Tribolium castaneum: one gene and its partners. The protein of the gene in region 2 purifies or fractionates together with the protein of the main gene of each other region. This does not show direct contact. Links are inferred from orthologs where the notes say so. Each region holds a gene or a part of one and is shown on either strand. Other genes may lie near its edges.

The links.
Region 1: the proteins of Wwox (region 2) and Wbp2 purify together in Homo sapiens (affinity purification with mass spectrometry; 3 studies listed by BioGRID and IntAct, with this or other methods). This does not show direct contact. The link is inferred for Tribolium castaneum from reciprocal best matches to the Homo sapiens genes WWOX and WBP2.
Region 3: the proteins of Wwox (region 2) and calnexin purify together in Homo sapiens (affinity purification with mass spectrometry; 3 studies listed by BioGRID and IntAct, with this or other methods). This does not show direct contact. The link is inferred for Tribolium castaneum from reciprocal best matches to the Homo sapiens genes WWOX and CANX.

The regions. Positions count from the first base shown.
Region 1 is NC_087399.1:3,370,658-3,374,637, reverse strand, and holds Wbp2 (WW domain-binding protein 2), read right to left. Parts: upstream 2,801-3,980; 5' UTR 2,680-2,800; coding exon 2,624-2,679; intron 2,576-2,623; coding exon 2,401-2,575; intron 2,353-2,400; coding exon 2,193-2,352; intron 931-2,192; coding exon 628-930; intron 565-627; coding exon 479-564; intron 426-478; coding exon 378-425; 3' UTR 104-377; downstream 1-103. Other genes in the region: cell cycle checkpoint protein RAD17, read right to left, coding at 2,879-2,969, 3,019-3,457, 3,506-3,813, 3,862-3,980. UniProt on the Homo sapiens protein: Acts as a transcriptional coactivator of estrogen and progesterone receptors (ESR1 and PGR) upon hormone activation. In presence of estrogen, binds to ESR1-responsive promoters. Synergizes with YAP1 to enhance PGR activity.
Region 2 is NC_087399.1:7,889,657-7,893,617, reverse strand, and holds the start of Wwox (WW domain-containing oxidoreductase), read right to left. Parts: upstream 2,801-3,961; 5' UTR 2,686-2,800; exon of another isoform or gene 2,635-2,685; 5' UTR 2,602-2,634; coding exon 1,826-2,601; intron 121-1,825; coding exon 1-120. Other genes in the region: glucose dehydrogenase [FAD, quinone], read right to left, coding at 2,950-3,300. UniProt on the Homo sapiens protein: Putative oxidoreductase. Acts as a tumor suppressor and plays a role in apoptosis. Required for normal bone development. May function synergistically with p53/TP53 to control genotoxic stress-induced cell death.
Region 3 is NC_087402.1:5,190,082-5,194,201, forward strand, and holds the start of calnexin, read right to left. Parts: upstream 2,801-4,120; 5' UTR 2,605-2,800; exon of another isoform or gene 2,600-2,604; intron 2,597-2,599; exon of another isoform or gene 2,502-2,596; intron 2,316-2,501; 5' UTR 2,297-2,315; coding exon 1,070-2,296; intron 387-1,069; coding exon 246-386; intron 17-245; coding exon 1-16. Other genes in the region: nSMase (putative neutral sphingomyelinase), read right to left, coding at 2,985-3,776, 3,825-4,008, 4,055-4,120. UniProt on the Homo sapiens protein: Calcium-binding protein that interacts with newly synthesized monoglucosylated glycoproteins in the endoplasmic reticulum. It may act in assisting protein assembly and/or in the retention within the ER of unassembled protein subunits.

The DNA.
Region 1 (3,980 bases), about 4.5 Mb from region 2:
GGCGATCAGGTAAAATCTCCCCTTTGACTTCTCGTTTCCTTTTTTCAAATTCATATTTTGGGACTTATTGTGGGATTGTAGCACTGGCAGAAAAACAAGTGCGTGCACATTTGCACATAAAATATTTATTTGCATTATACAGATCTATCTACACGTTATAAGAATAATTATATTACAATAATCTCAACTATACAAAATTTCCAAGCAAATAAGTGCCTCAAACTATTGCAAAGCCTTGCCGTAAAAAACGCATGCATATTTCGTGGACCTATCAATGGAATGATGCAACAATTAAAAACCAACAAATAATACTTTTGCATAATTGGATAAAGACATTAGAAAGAATTGATACAAATTTTAAGTGTCACGTGACCCCATCACTGTTCCTTCTTATTGGTAGCTTGGCTGTAACTTGGGGGATTTTCCTAAAACAAAATAGTGTTTTTTTTTCTAACTGCGATTGGTCTCCCTGTCTTACGTAATAAGCCGGCGGCGGCACGAACGCCATCTGTGGCCGATTGGGATCATAGTAGGCCGATTGTGCGGCCTCGGCTGCCTTCGCATCTTAAATAAAACAAAATTTCGTAAAACAATATTTATTTGGCAGTTAGCGTCCTTGATAATTACCTGCAGGTGAGGCAAATCCGGCTGCGCCCCCTTGCGGCGGATACCCACCTTGGGGTGGGTAACCCCCTTGCGGGGGCGGATACCCTCCCGGTTGGTAGGCGGGGTTTAAGCCGGGATACGGGGGCGGAGCTTGTGTCATGTAAACGCCGTCGGTTGGCGGATTATCGGGGAATTGGTGACGGGGCGGCACCCAGCCGTAGTAACCCTCCGGCGGGGGGGCGTAGGCCGGGGGCGGAGCCGCATACCATTCGGTGTTGGGGGGGACGTACGGGGGAGGGGCGTCGTTGTTCATTCCTCGCGTCGCTAGAGAGAGCCACATTTGTGATCAATACTCGGGTAATTACACGTAATTACCCGAAATTAACCGTAATTACAATCATGGCCGACGAGAATATTCTCGAGTGTTTCGAACGTGAAAAATCAGTGAAAATTCCGACACACGTCAAGAATTTGCTATTATTCGCCGGTTTCGACAACAAAACCTCGCTGTCGAAATTCGAGAGTGAAGACATCGACGAATTGGTGAAAATCGGGCGGGAAATCATCCCACGTGTCATCGATCGCGTCCTCCATGAAAAATACTTGGGGATTTTCGCGACTGAACCGCAACTGTTTACGATATTTTCCGGTCATCGGAAAATCCTCCTCGAAATGGCACAATTTTATCGCAGCTTTTCATGGAAAAAACGTCACACGGGGGACACGTGTGAAGCACCGACGAAACGTCAAAAAACAGACGAACAACGCGATTTCGAAAGCGAAAAACAAAACATTCTAGCGCTCATTTCTAATTGGATAATAAACTTTTGCTCACGCAATCTGACCAATGAGGAGTCGGCTTACGTGACACGAGAAATGTCTAAAATGCGGGCCGAAATTTCAAGCGAAGATTCAAATCAGTGTTACATCACGTGCTGTATTTGTCTCAAAGACGTGAAAATTTTCAGAAATCAGAACGGATTCTGGATCATGTCCAACATTCACAAACACTTCAAGACGCACATGAGTACGATTTCTAACAAGAAATTCAGCAAAAATATCAGCATTTCCAGCACGATTGCGAACCAGGAGGCGGATTCACCAGAAATTAGAGAAATTAAGGTGGAAAACGACTCCGAATAATAAAATAATAATAATTCCTCACCTATTGTACCTATTTTTGTTAATTAAATGAAACTGAATAAAAAAATAACAGTGTAACACTTGTGTTTTCGCCCTGATTCGAAACGAAACTAGCCTTAAAACATTTTACCGGTAGTTTCACCTGTTACACCACCTAAATCGGCTAATTGAAACAATTTAACTCAATTATAATTAAATTTGCAATTTTTATTAAATAGTTGAGTATCGTTTCTATTTCCAGTTTGGTGTTTTTTTTGTTTGATTGAAATTCCTACAACTGGCACCACAAAATGCCAAGGTCACTCGATTGAAACGAAAAAAAACAATAACGTTGCTTAGCAACGCAACGGTCACGTGATGTTTTTATCATCGCCTACTTATTTATTGGGAGATTAAATTAAAGAAAAAGTTTAAATTTCGTTGCAAAATGTTGCACAACTCACCCAAATATGCGGCTTTGAGCATCGCCTGGCCAAAGTCGATGGCGCCCCCACGCTTGAAAGTGAATTTGAACTTGGCCTCGCCAATCCAGTTGCCGTTGGGCTGCGCCCTGACTTTGCCCTTGATGTAGTTGGCGCCAAAGACGGGTTGCTCGATCTCGACCTACAGCCCCCTTGTTACAAATGATGAGTGAAAGGGGGGCGAACGTACCTCACTCAGTGTTACAAACGGGAAACTGAAACTTTGCATGGGGTCGCTGCCGCTCTTGTTGTTGAAGACAAGTCGGTGGGTGGTTAGGTAGAAGCGGCCGGTTTTGGTGCCTTTGAATGTGGGGTCCCCCTGACCCGACCATTCGATGCTGACGTCGTCCGCGAACAGTAAAATCCTAACGATGCGTTAAAGGGGGCGAAACGTCTGGATAGAAGTTGCTTACCTCTCACCGGCGTGTATTAAAACACCGCCGTTTATATGAGCCGTGTTTAGAGACATTTCGCACGGTTTTGGTACTCACACAATGAAATTATTTGTTTTTCTAGAAAAATTTTCGATAACTCCCCGATTTTGACAAGTGACATTTGACGTGACGTTTGAAATGTCATCTGCCAGGCGAGAGAGAGAAAAGATAGGGGTAAAAACAAGTTAGAGAGAGAAAAAGACAATACTAAGGCGCCAAATTCAAATTTATTAATCACGACAATACAAAGCCCGAATTAGTCTTATTGTTAATCACGTTGTAGTAATAAAGATCAGTCACTGAAACCTCGCGATTTGGCACAACCCTGCAAACAAACCCATCAAAAAACGCCAAAAAAAGACCACAAAACCCACTTTTGCACCTTGGTGGGGCCCTTGATTTGGTTCCATCGCGACACCTTATGCCCATTATGTACCATCAAGCCCAAGACGGAGACCCAAATCGCATAGTCGAGAATATCATGTCGATCGACCAACTTTTCTAGAAATGTTTGACCCAAACTCAAATTCTCACTGCCTTGACTGGCATCCACCAAATCCCCAAAATATTTCAAGTAATTTTCGAACAAAAACCCTGTGAAAAGCCCAGGCTGTGTTGTGAATTCGTTGACCAATCGGTCAAAATCGCACGCAAGTCGGCCATTTTCGCCCAACTTCGGGTTCAAAACGCGGCCAAGGGCGTGAAAAAGGCCCAAATTTTCGTCACGTGACATTATTTGAATCGAAGTGGACGAATCACGTTTGCGTTTGGTGCCCGATTTTTGGGTTTGGATCGTTGGCAGGTCTGAAGTTCCTGGAATTTTTTTGTGAGACAGTTGGGGGATGGGGGGTGATTTTTTACCTAAAAGGGCGGCAAAATAATACTGATTTAGGGCGCATTTCAAGTCGCCCATGGCTGTGGAAATGATGGCAGTGACTGTACTTTGAGACGGAATTTTAAATAAATCGGGATTCCCCTGCACGAGGTTTTGGGCCCTTTTCAGGGCACTCTTCATCAAAGTTGGGGCGCAACCGTTGAAACTAATCGTCGCAATTTTATACTTAACCCTTACGTCCTCACTAAATAATTTCTCGCTTAGATTAATTTTATTATCGAAAGTGTCCGTACACACGAAAATAACCGGGTAATTCCCCTTGTAGTAACACTCCCTGGAACCAACCAAATTAATTATTTGGACCAAAAACTAGCTCAATTACTCTAAAACTGGCCCAAACTCGTCACAATTCCTCAAAAACGTGTTTGGAAACTCCTCAACTAAAATCACTTTTTTGTTGCCTGTGGAAAATAAAGAATTCCATTTGGATTCGGTCAAAAA
Region 2 (3,961 bases):
CGGGCGAACAACACATTGCACAACTTGGAATTGTTGTAAGCCGTCATGTCCCAGTATTTGGCCGGGGTTTCCGGCGAAAGAGTTTGCACGGAAATGTTATCAGTCGTCAAGTTCGAAAATCTGGAAAAAGTTTGTTACAGTGGAACCCGCTTATCACGAACTTCCGGCTATAACGAACTATTTCTCAAGCACCGAAAATCTCTCCATAAGCTCAATGTTTTTTTAATGGGTTTTCAGCAATTACCTGAGTAATTCATTTATGTGTCAGTAAAATTTATGTAAGATTTTCAGTAAAATTCATTTATGCATCAAGTAATAATTAAATTACTAATGTGATTAGTCATATTAGTACATATCTACAGACTGATCCAGAAATACTGAGTCTGTTGGCAACACATTTGAAAGTATTTGTGCTCGTAATTTGCAACATTGCAACCGAATTCTATTTTTCTTGACAATTATTTGACGTACAACCCCACAAGAATGTTAAATTGTTTTTAAATGAAAGCGTACTGCATTGGTGTCCTTAAAAATTTAAGTCCAGTGTTGCCAACAGACTCAGTATTTCTGGATCAGTCTGTACTTATTCTACAATGAAGTTTATCTAACATTAAAAAATTATAAAAACAGCAATTTTAAACACAAATACAGAAAGTTTCTTATAAAATGATTTTTCTATTTTTCTTATGTGTTTTTTTCCTCTCTATAATTTTGTTAAATAGAATTAGATATTTTTTTTGTTATATTTTTTTATTTTTCTTCAATCACATTGTTTATTTTTATTTTTTGTTATTTCTCATTTATTGTCTGGGCCAATTGAGGTAAGAACAACTTGTAGAAAATTTAAATTTTGTTATCGTATTTTTTTTCTTGTTGTAACTAACTATATTGTAACCATTTTAGTGCCACAAATAAATTATTATAATTATTAAAGTATTATTATTATATCAAAACATAAACTACCATTTGACTTATCAGATTCTAAGATTACAAATTTTCTTGTAATATTTTTTTTTAATCTCGAAAAATGTTTCAAATTTTCTAAGCAATTACATATCATAAAAAGGTTATCAGAAATGCTATCTATACGTGTACAAGAATACATGGTGATCAATTTGAAAAAAATTAGTTATTGTGTTTTGGCACACTCTGTACATTATTTGCGTGTTTCAAGTAAAAGTCGACAATTTGCTAAAACTGCAAAGTATTCTGAATTTTTCTGTGTTGAAAAATATTCATTGGAGACTCCGTAGTAATTTTTCAAAAATTGATCTTTTTTATAAGATAAATTGAATAATTCCAAAACGAAAAGAAATACACCTATAATAATTTATATAAAGTTACATTATTTTTTGTGTAGAATCTAATTATGCAAAAATATTTCCATCTAAAAAAATTTAACTTTGGTTCACCACCCTGTATTAAAAAACATTTTTAGTTTGTGTAAAACTAAGGCAATATTTTAGATAATAAAAAAATTATAGACCAATTACACACCCCTGTGTCACCCTGTATTACTGCTTTCCAAATAATTCATGTTTTTTTACAATCAATAAAAAAATGTAGACAAATACATAAGCTCTTTAAAGGTGCAAACGTTTAAACTGCGAAATAATTTCAAAAACTTTTGAAGGGTTCCAAAAAAAAAGTCGTCCGAAGCTGCCCCACCTTACCCTACATATTAATGTATCGCAAAGGATTCATATTTTTTTACAAAACTTAGTTATTTCGTCTTATTTAATATTTTTTTAATTTAACGCTTATTTTGACGCATTATTTGAGTTCGTTATAACCGGACACCACTGGCAAGGTTGGCACACCTCACCTGTGAGACTCTGATGAGACCACAACAACTCTTGACCCTGTGACCAACAAAGGTCTCAACAAAAGTGTCAAATAGAAATGTCCTAAATGATTCACTTGAAACGTAGTCTCGAAACCATCCACTGTTTTACTAAAAGCAAGTCCAAAAACCCCCGCATTTAAAATCAGCATATCAATCTGTTTAAACATTGTTTTCACTTGGTTGGCAAAACTGTCCACACTGTGTAAATCCCCCAAATCGAGATAAATCGCCACACAATTCTCCCCCGCCGCCTCCTTCTCCTCCCTAACCTTCGCAATGGCTTCGGCAGCCCCCTCCAAGTCCCTGCATGCAAAAATCACACTGGCCCCATGTTTGGCCAAAGACCGCGCCGTCTCAAACCCAATCCCCGAGTTAGCCCCCGTCACCAGGGCAACTTTTCCATTCAAATCGCGGCCGTGTAACACCTGAAGGGCTGTACTTGACCCATCAAACCTCTGTCTGTAATCATTCGGATGGTCTTTCTCCTCAACTGCGAAAGCCAGTCTTGGGTCAGTGTAAGTGGTTCTACGGTTCTCGTGGTCCACGTAAATCACTTTTCCGCTCGTTTTGTCAATACAACGCTCCCAACCGAAGGGTAAATCCCCCGAGACTCGCTTTTTCTTCCCGGTTCGGGGGTGCGTCCATTGCGTGGCTTTGGTTAAATGATTTGCGTAGAAAACGCTACCGTCGACCGTCACGCGCTCCTCCCAGCCGGGGGGCAACTCGTCCTCGCTGTCGGACTCCGGGAGGTTCATTTTACGGGGGCTCCACTAACATAACCTCAAACACTAACCACGATTTCGAGCGGTCCGGTAGGACTACAGCAATTAAATACCCACAAGAACGTGTTAGTTAATAAAACTGCACCCTTAATGTTTTTGATGGTTTTTTGCTTAAAATCAAGCGAAAATAAACAATAAATTTTCTAGGGGATTTTGGTTTTTTTGGTTGGCGGTATGCGCGGGAATATTCAAATAAATCGCAAGAAATGGTCTTTTGAGGGGGACAAATAAAGTATCACGTCAATAGAAAATCGCTTTTATTTAATTACAGTCTTATACAATCAACAAACCCGTACTTTATGCACCAAAAACCGGTTCTAGTCACTTTCTTGCCCACTCTTGCTTGATCATGTCTGAAGCCTTCTCCCCAATCATCATTATCACAGCATTGGTATGTCCGGCCACCACATTGGGCATGATGGACCCATCGACCACCCTTAACCCTTTAATCCCATAAACTCTCAATCTCTCGTCGACCACAGCATCGGGATCGCTCGGGGGCCCCATTTTGCAGGTCCCAACCTGGTGCCCCAGAGTGGTGGCAACGTGCCGAACGGCACAAGCCCAATACTCGTCGCTACCAAATGGTACAGTTTCACACCCAGGAAATGGGGTCGTAATCATTGTAATGTTGTATTTTTGAAAATGTCGAGATTGCGTAATTGTAATCGCCTGAAAATTGTTTTAATTGTAGACAATTGCGACAATGTTCTGTGGGTCAAGAACAACACTAGTGTTCACCTTGTACTTGCATTATTGATGTGCAAAATAATTACGAAGCTGTGTCAACAAAACAAAGAAAAAATCAGGACGGACAAAAAGCGGCGTTGTATAATTGGCTGAAATTGATTGTTTTCAAAGAAAGTGAAAGTTTTGCGTAATCACAGCCACGAGATGTGTTCCAGTAACCTTTATAAGTGGCTATAACACTAGTTTATAAAAAAATTCTTTAATAAAGAGAAAATTAATACTGATTTTATTTTCTGTTTACTCACTAATGACTAAAATATACAGGACGATCCAGCTCATTTATACTATAGGACTCATTTTTTGAAAATATTTTTGATTATACAGAGAGTCCTAAAAAACGTTTTATGTCATAATAATAATTTTTAATGGCATGCTATTATTTTTTTGTGCTCAGTAGGTTGCCTTTCAAGCTTCTTACATGTCCCTAAAGTTTCTTTAAATCGCTTTAGGAATTACTGTTAAAAAAATAAAAAAATTAATTAATTAAAAATAGAAACAGTGCTTTTTTGATGACATTATTAGTACATACATCTTGACCTACATTTAACAAACTTATTAAGTTTGATGGTTATTTATCAAATAA
Region 3 (4,120 bases), on a different chromosome or scaffold from region 2:
TTTGAATTACGCTTTCCTATGTCAAAACAAAGAAAACTATAACTAGCAGTACGAAAATACCTCTTGAATGCAGAAGTAGAGGTACCATATGTAACAACAAACCGGTATGGCGCAATAAACGAAATATAAGAACCACGGTACAGGTTTATAGTTTAACTTTTTCATAAGACGACCCCACAGTGTCCTCTTATTTAGTAAAAAATCACAAATATAATAAAATTCATTTAAATTAAACAGATACTAACCGAATCCTTGGCGATCTTTTGCTTCTTTTTTTCAAAAGTGGCGTCTGCCCAATGGTTCGCAACGGTAATATCGTCGGTAATAATAATATTGTCGAAGAAAATGTCCTTTGACATTGACCATAACTCAAATCCAACAGCGGTCTGAAAAAAGTTATTTGTCCAAAGATAAATTAATCTTGAATGAATTGCAAAAATACAATTCTTTATTTAGGTTTACAAAACATTTTTATCACAATACGAACGCAAATTCGCCAAAATAAGCATAAAAACGATTGGGTGTGGCTAAGTATATATTACTTCCTTAGTTAGCATATCTCACATAGCAACTAAATCCTTTTGTAGTGACACAAACAATTCTTTTTTGCAACATGTTTTGTTGAAGGCAACAATGCAATAATCAAATACGCAGTTTCGGTAAAAATATGGAAATTAAACAACTACAATTCTGCCAAAAACCAAAGATAATAAAAAAAAATCGCAAAAATAAATGTGTCAATTTCAAGTTGGCTCAATTTTATCAAGAGGCAATTCTTTTACCATTTTCTCACTGTCCTAGGCACTCTAAAAAAATTGCTAACAAAATTAGAAGCTCAGAATTTGTTATTTTTGTACAAAGCATATCGAAATATACTTTTCACAAATTCTGGAAACTGGAGAGGAAACTAGAGCTGACAGCCAAATTTTGACTGCAGATTTGTAAACTATGTTCTAATAGTGTACAAAATCAACTGATAAATTTGAACAAGAAGAAAAAATAATGTAAACATATCGGCACCAATAATTACAGTTACATAAACAAGATAATTTTTTAACCATTTACTTACAACAGTCTGCATTTTAAAGGGATGCTTATCTTCGAAGAACTCGGGATTGGGGATCCTCCTGGGCCTCCACTTCCCCTTATAATTAGGATTATCGATAAGCGGCGCCCTCCACTTCCCCTTATAATCGGGATTATTGATAAGTGGGGGCTCCCAAGGCCCACACCCGACAGCATCCTTACAAGCGGGATTATCAATAAGCGGTGGTTCCCACTCCCCGTCCATTTCCGAATCCCAATCTTCTGGTTTCTTTGCATCAGGATCGAAAACATGCGACGGTTCATTATCCAGCCAACCTTCCGGTTTCACCGCTGATTCATCAACAATCTGAGCCGGCGCATCCTCATCCCAATCGTCAGGTTTCACGGCATCTGGGTCAGGGATTTTCTCCCTTTCATCCCAATCCTCAGGTTTCTTGTCATTAGGATCGTCAATTTCTTTCGGAGGATTCACTGCCGGGGTGAAATCCTCAAGCAAACTTCCCGAATTGACCACTTTGTTGTCGATTAGGATCTCGAAGGTGTTGTCAGGGTGCAGGACAAGGGTGAACAAGTGGGGGAGTTTGTCGGAGAAGACTTCCTCAATGCGGTCTTTGGGTTTTTTGCAATGCTTTTCCTCGACGCTCCCGTTGAGAGGGTTGCGGTGCTTGAAGATAAAGTGGAGCTTGTGGTCGTTACCGCACTTGTCGGGGCCGAACATGATCGAGTAGGGGGTTTTATCGTGGAAGTTGTTCAAGTTTTTACTGGCGGAGTCCTGGGTGAGCAGCTTCAAGTAGGCTCCGCCACATTCTTGGCCGTCTTGGAATATTACTTCATATTGCACGATTAATGGTTTAGTATCAAAAATAAACGGTTTTAGGAGAGAGGAGGCAATAGCAGCGTGTTTAGCCTTTGATTTAAGCACTAAACCTTTGTCGCCCACTAGACTGTCTTTTTGGGTTGGTTCAAGTTGCCATTCACCGTCGTATTTTGCGATGTCTTCGGAAATCCCTTCTTTCTTCGCTTGGGATTTTATCCAACGTTTCGCAAACTGGTCTGGATCGTCGAAATGCTCGGCGAAATAGACCTTTTTCGGGTCAAGGGGGCTCGGACTTTCGTAGGGGATATCAATGTGTGATTCTTCCGGTTCTACTTCCACAGTAGCCTCGTCAGAATCGTCCACTTCGTCACATTTTACCGCCGAAAATATCAACAATAACGTGATTACTGCCGGAACGAGACTTCTAAGCATTTTGTGATCATATATTGTCCTGCAAACCAAACCGGGCACTAATTATGTGTCGTGATTACAGGATGACGAAACGGAAGCAGTATTTACTAATATAAGTCAGGGACTAATCCAATTTAAAAAATTAACCTGAAAGGTTAGTGAACGCACTTCCCAATCGATTAGTTACGAAATTACGCCAAATATCGACAAAAACGCACTCTCTTACCCAACTATCGACACGCTATTACTACAAAATGCACAAAAAAGCCGACTTCACGATGAAATAATTAAAATTCTAGAGACCGACAAAATAAAATGACATACCTAACCTCAAAATCCGGAAGTAGTTTTACACAGCACTCTTACAACACTAGCTTCAGCACCACAGTCTTAACTCAAATTGGTGTTTACTTAGGCTGTATTTCATTTATTATCAGATTATTTTTATTGTAGTTCTTGAACACCACGTAATACACCGCATTTATGAAGAGAATAAACACAAATTCGCCGACCAATCAGCGTCAAACAGATGGCAAAGTTGCGCTCAGTTCAAAAATAGGCGGGGAAAAAAAGTACAAACAGTTAAAAAATGAAAACTTTATTCACCAGTGGTACAGAAACGATCACAGTCGTACAAACCAAATAAAAAATGAGCAACAGGTGTTGGTCTTTGATTTAAAATACTGAGCTTGTTTTGGCCCTGATATAATTACAAATCTTTGGCTTTTAATTTCCTCAAAGCTGTCTCCATTCCCAACTTGCCCGCAATCACAGCATGACGTTCGATTTTATTCCAGATAGTTGCCATCATCAAAGTGTAAAACATAAAAAGGGTGATTAAAATTTTCAAAATGTGGTAAATAAAATTCAGATTGTAGCCGAAAGGTAGGTCAGTTGCAAGTGTCGTAACCAGCAACACGATTAAAACGAACGTAAAAAACCAGTACAAATATTTATGGTTATTCAAGCCCCTGAGTGCGTCATCACAGATTTCTATGCTCTCTTCAAGGACAGTTTTCTTCATGTGTTGGTCGCTTTTCAGCGACCTTATCTCGCTCTTTGTGACGATTAAAGTCGCAGCGATTGCTTCATGGTCCGAGTAACTGTACGCACATCCGGGGATTTTGTGTGGTAACGGCAATGTGTAGCTTTTTAAATCGATTTGTAAACTTGAGCCTGGATGATACATGATATAGTCGATTCTTTTGCCAGGAATGTTTTTCTTGAGTAAGGCCACGGGTGTGTAACTATTAGTGAGGCTTTCATTTGTCGCCACACAATTCTGCACCGTTTCTCCAGCTTCACCAAACGCATCTACAAGTCCCGGAACACTCAACATTATCCTGTAGGCTAAATCTCCAGGTTCGGTATTTAAGTCCCCGGCCAGGACTACTAGGTCGGCGTCTCCAGACGTCATTTGGATAAATTGAGCGGTATCGAAAGATTGGAGCACTCTGTGAGCTTGGTATTCATCACAATTTCGGTCGTATTCTGCGTGCAACTAAAATTATTACTCTTTGTGTTGTTCATCAAGCAAAATAAATCTTACATGTGCAGAGTAGACGTTGACGGTGTAATTGTTCACCTTTAATTTACATAAACCCACGCCCTTTCCACCAAACCAGTCACCATGGTGGATTTTATGAATGTAACCATTTACTGGCCATTGGTGGAAAAAAACGTCCTCCATCGGGTGTCGCGATAAAATACAAACGCCAGAGCCCGTGACTCCGCTACAACTCACCTTTACGCTTGTTTCAACTGAATTTTTGAATTTACCTGTAAAAATAGTGAGAGTATGGTAACACCCCTGAGACTTTGTTTCTGATTAACTGGTAGTCAGAG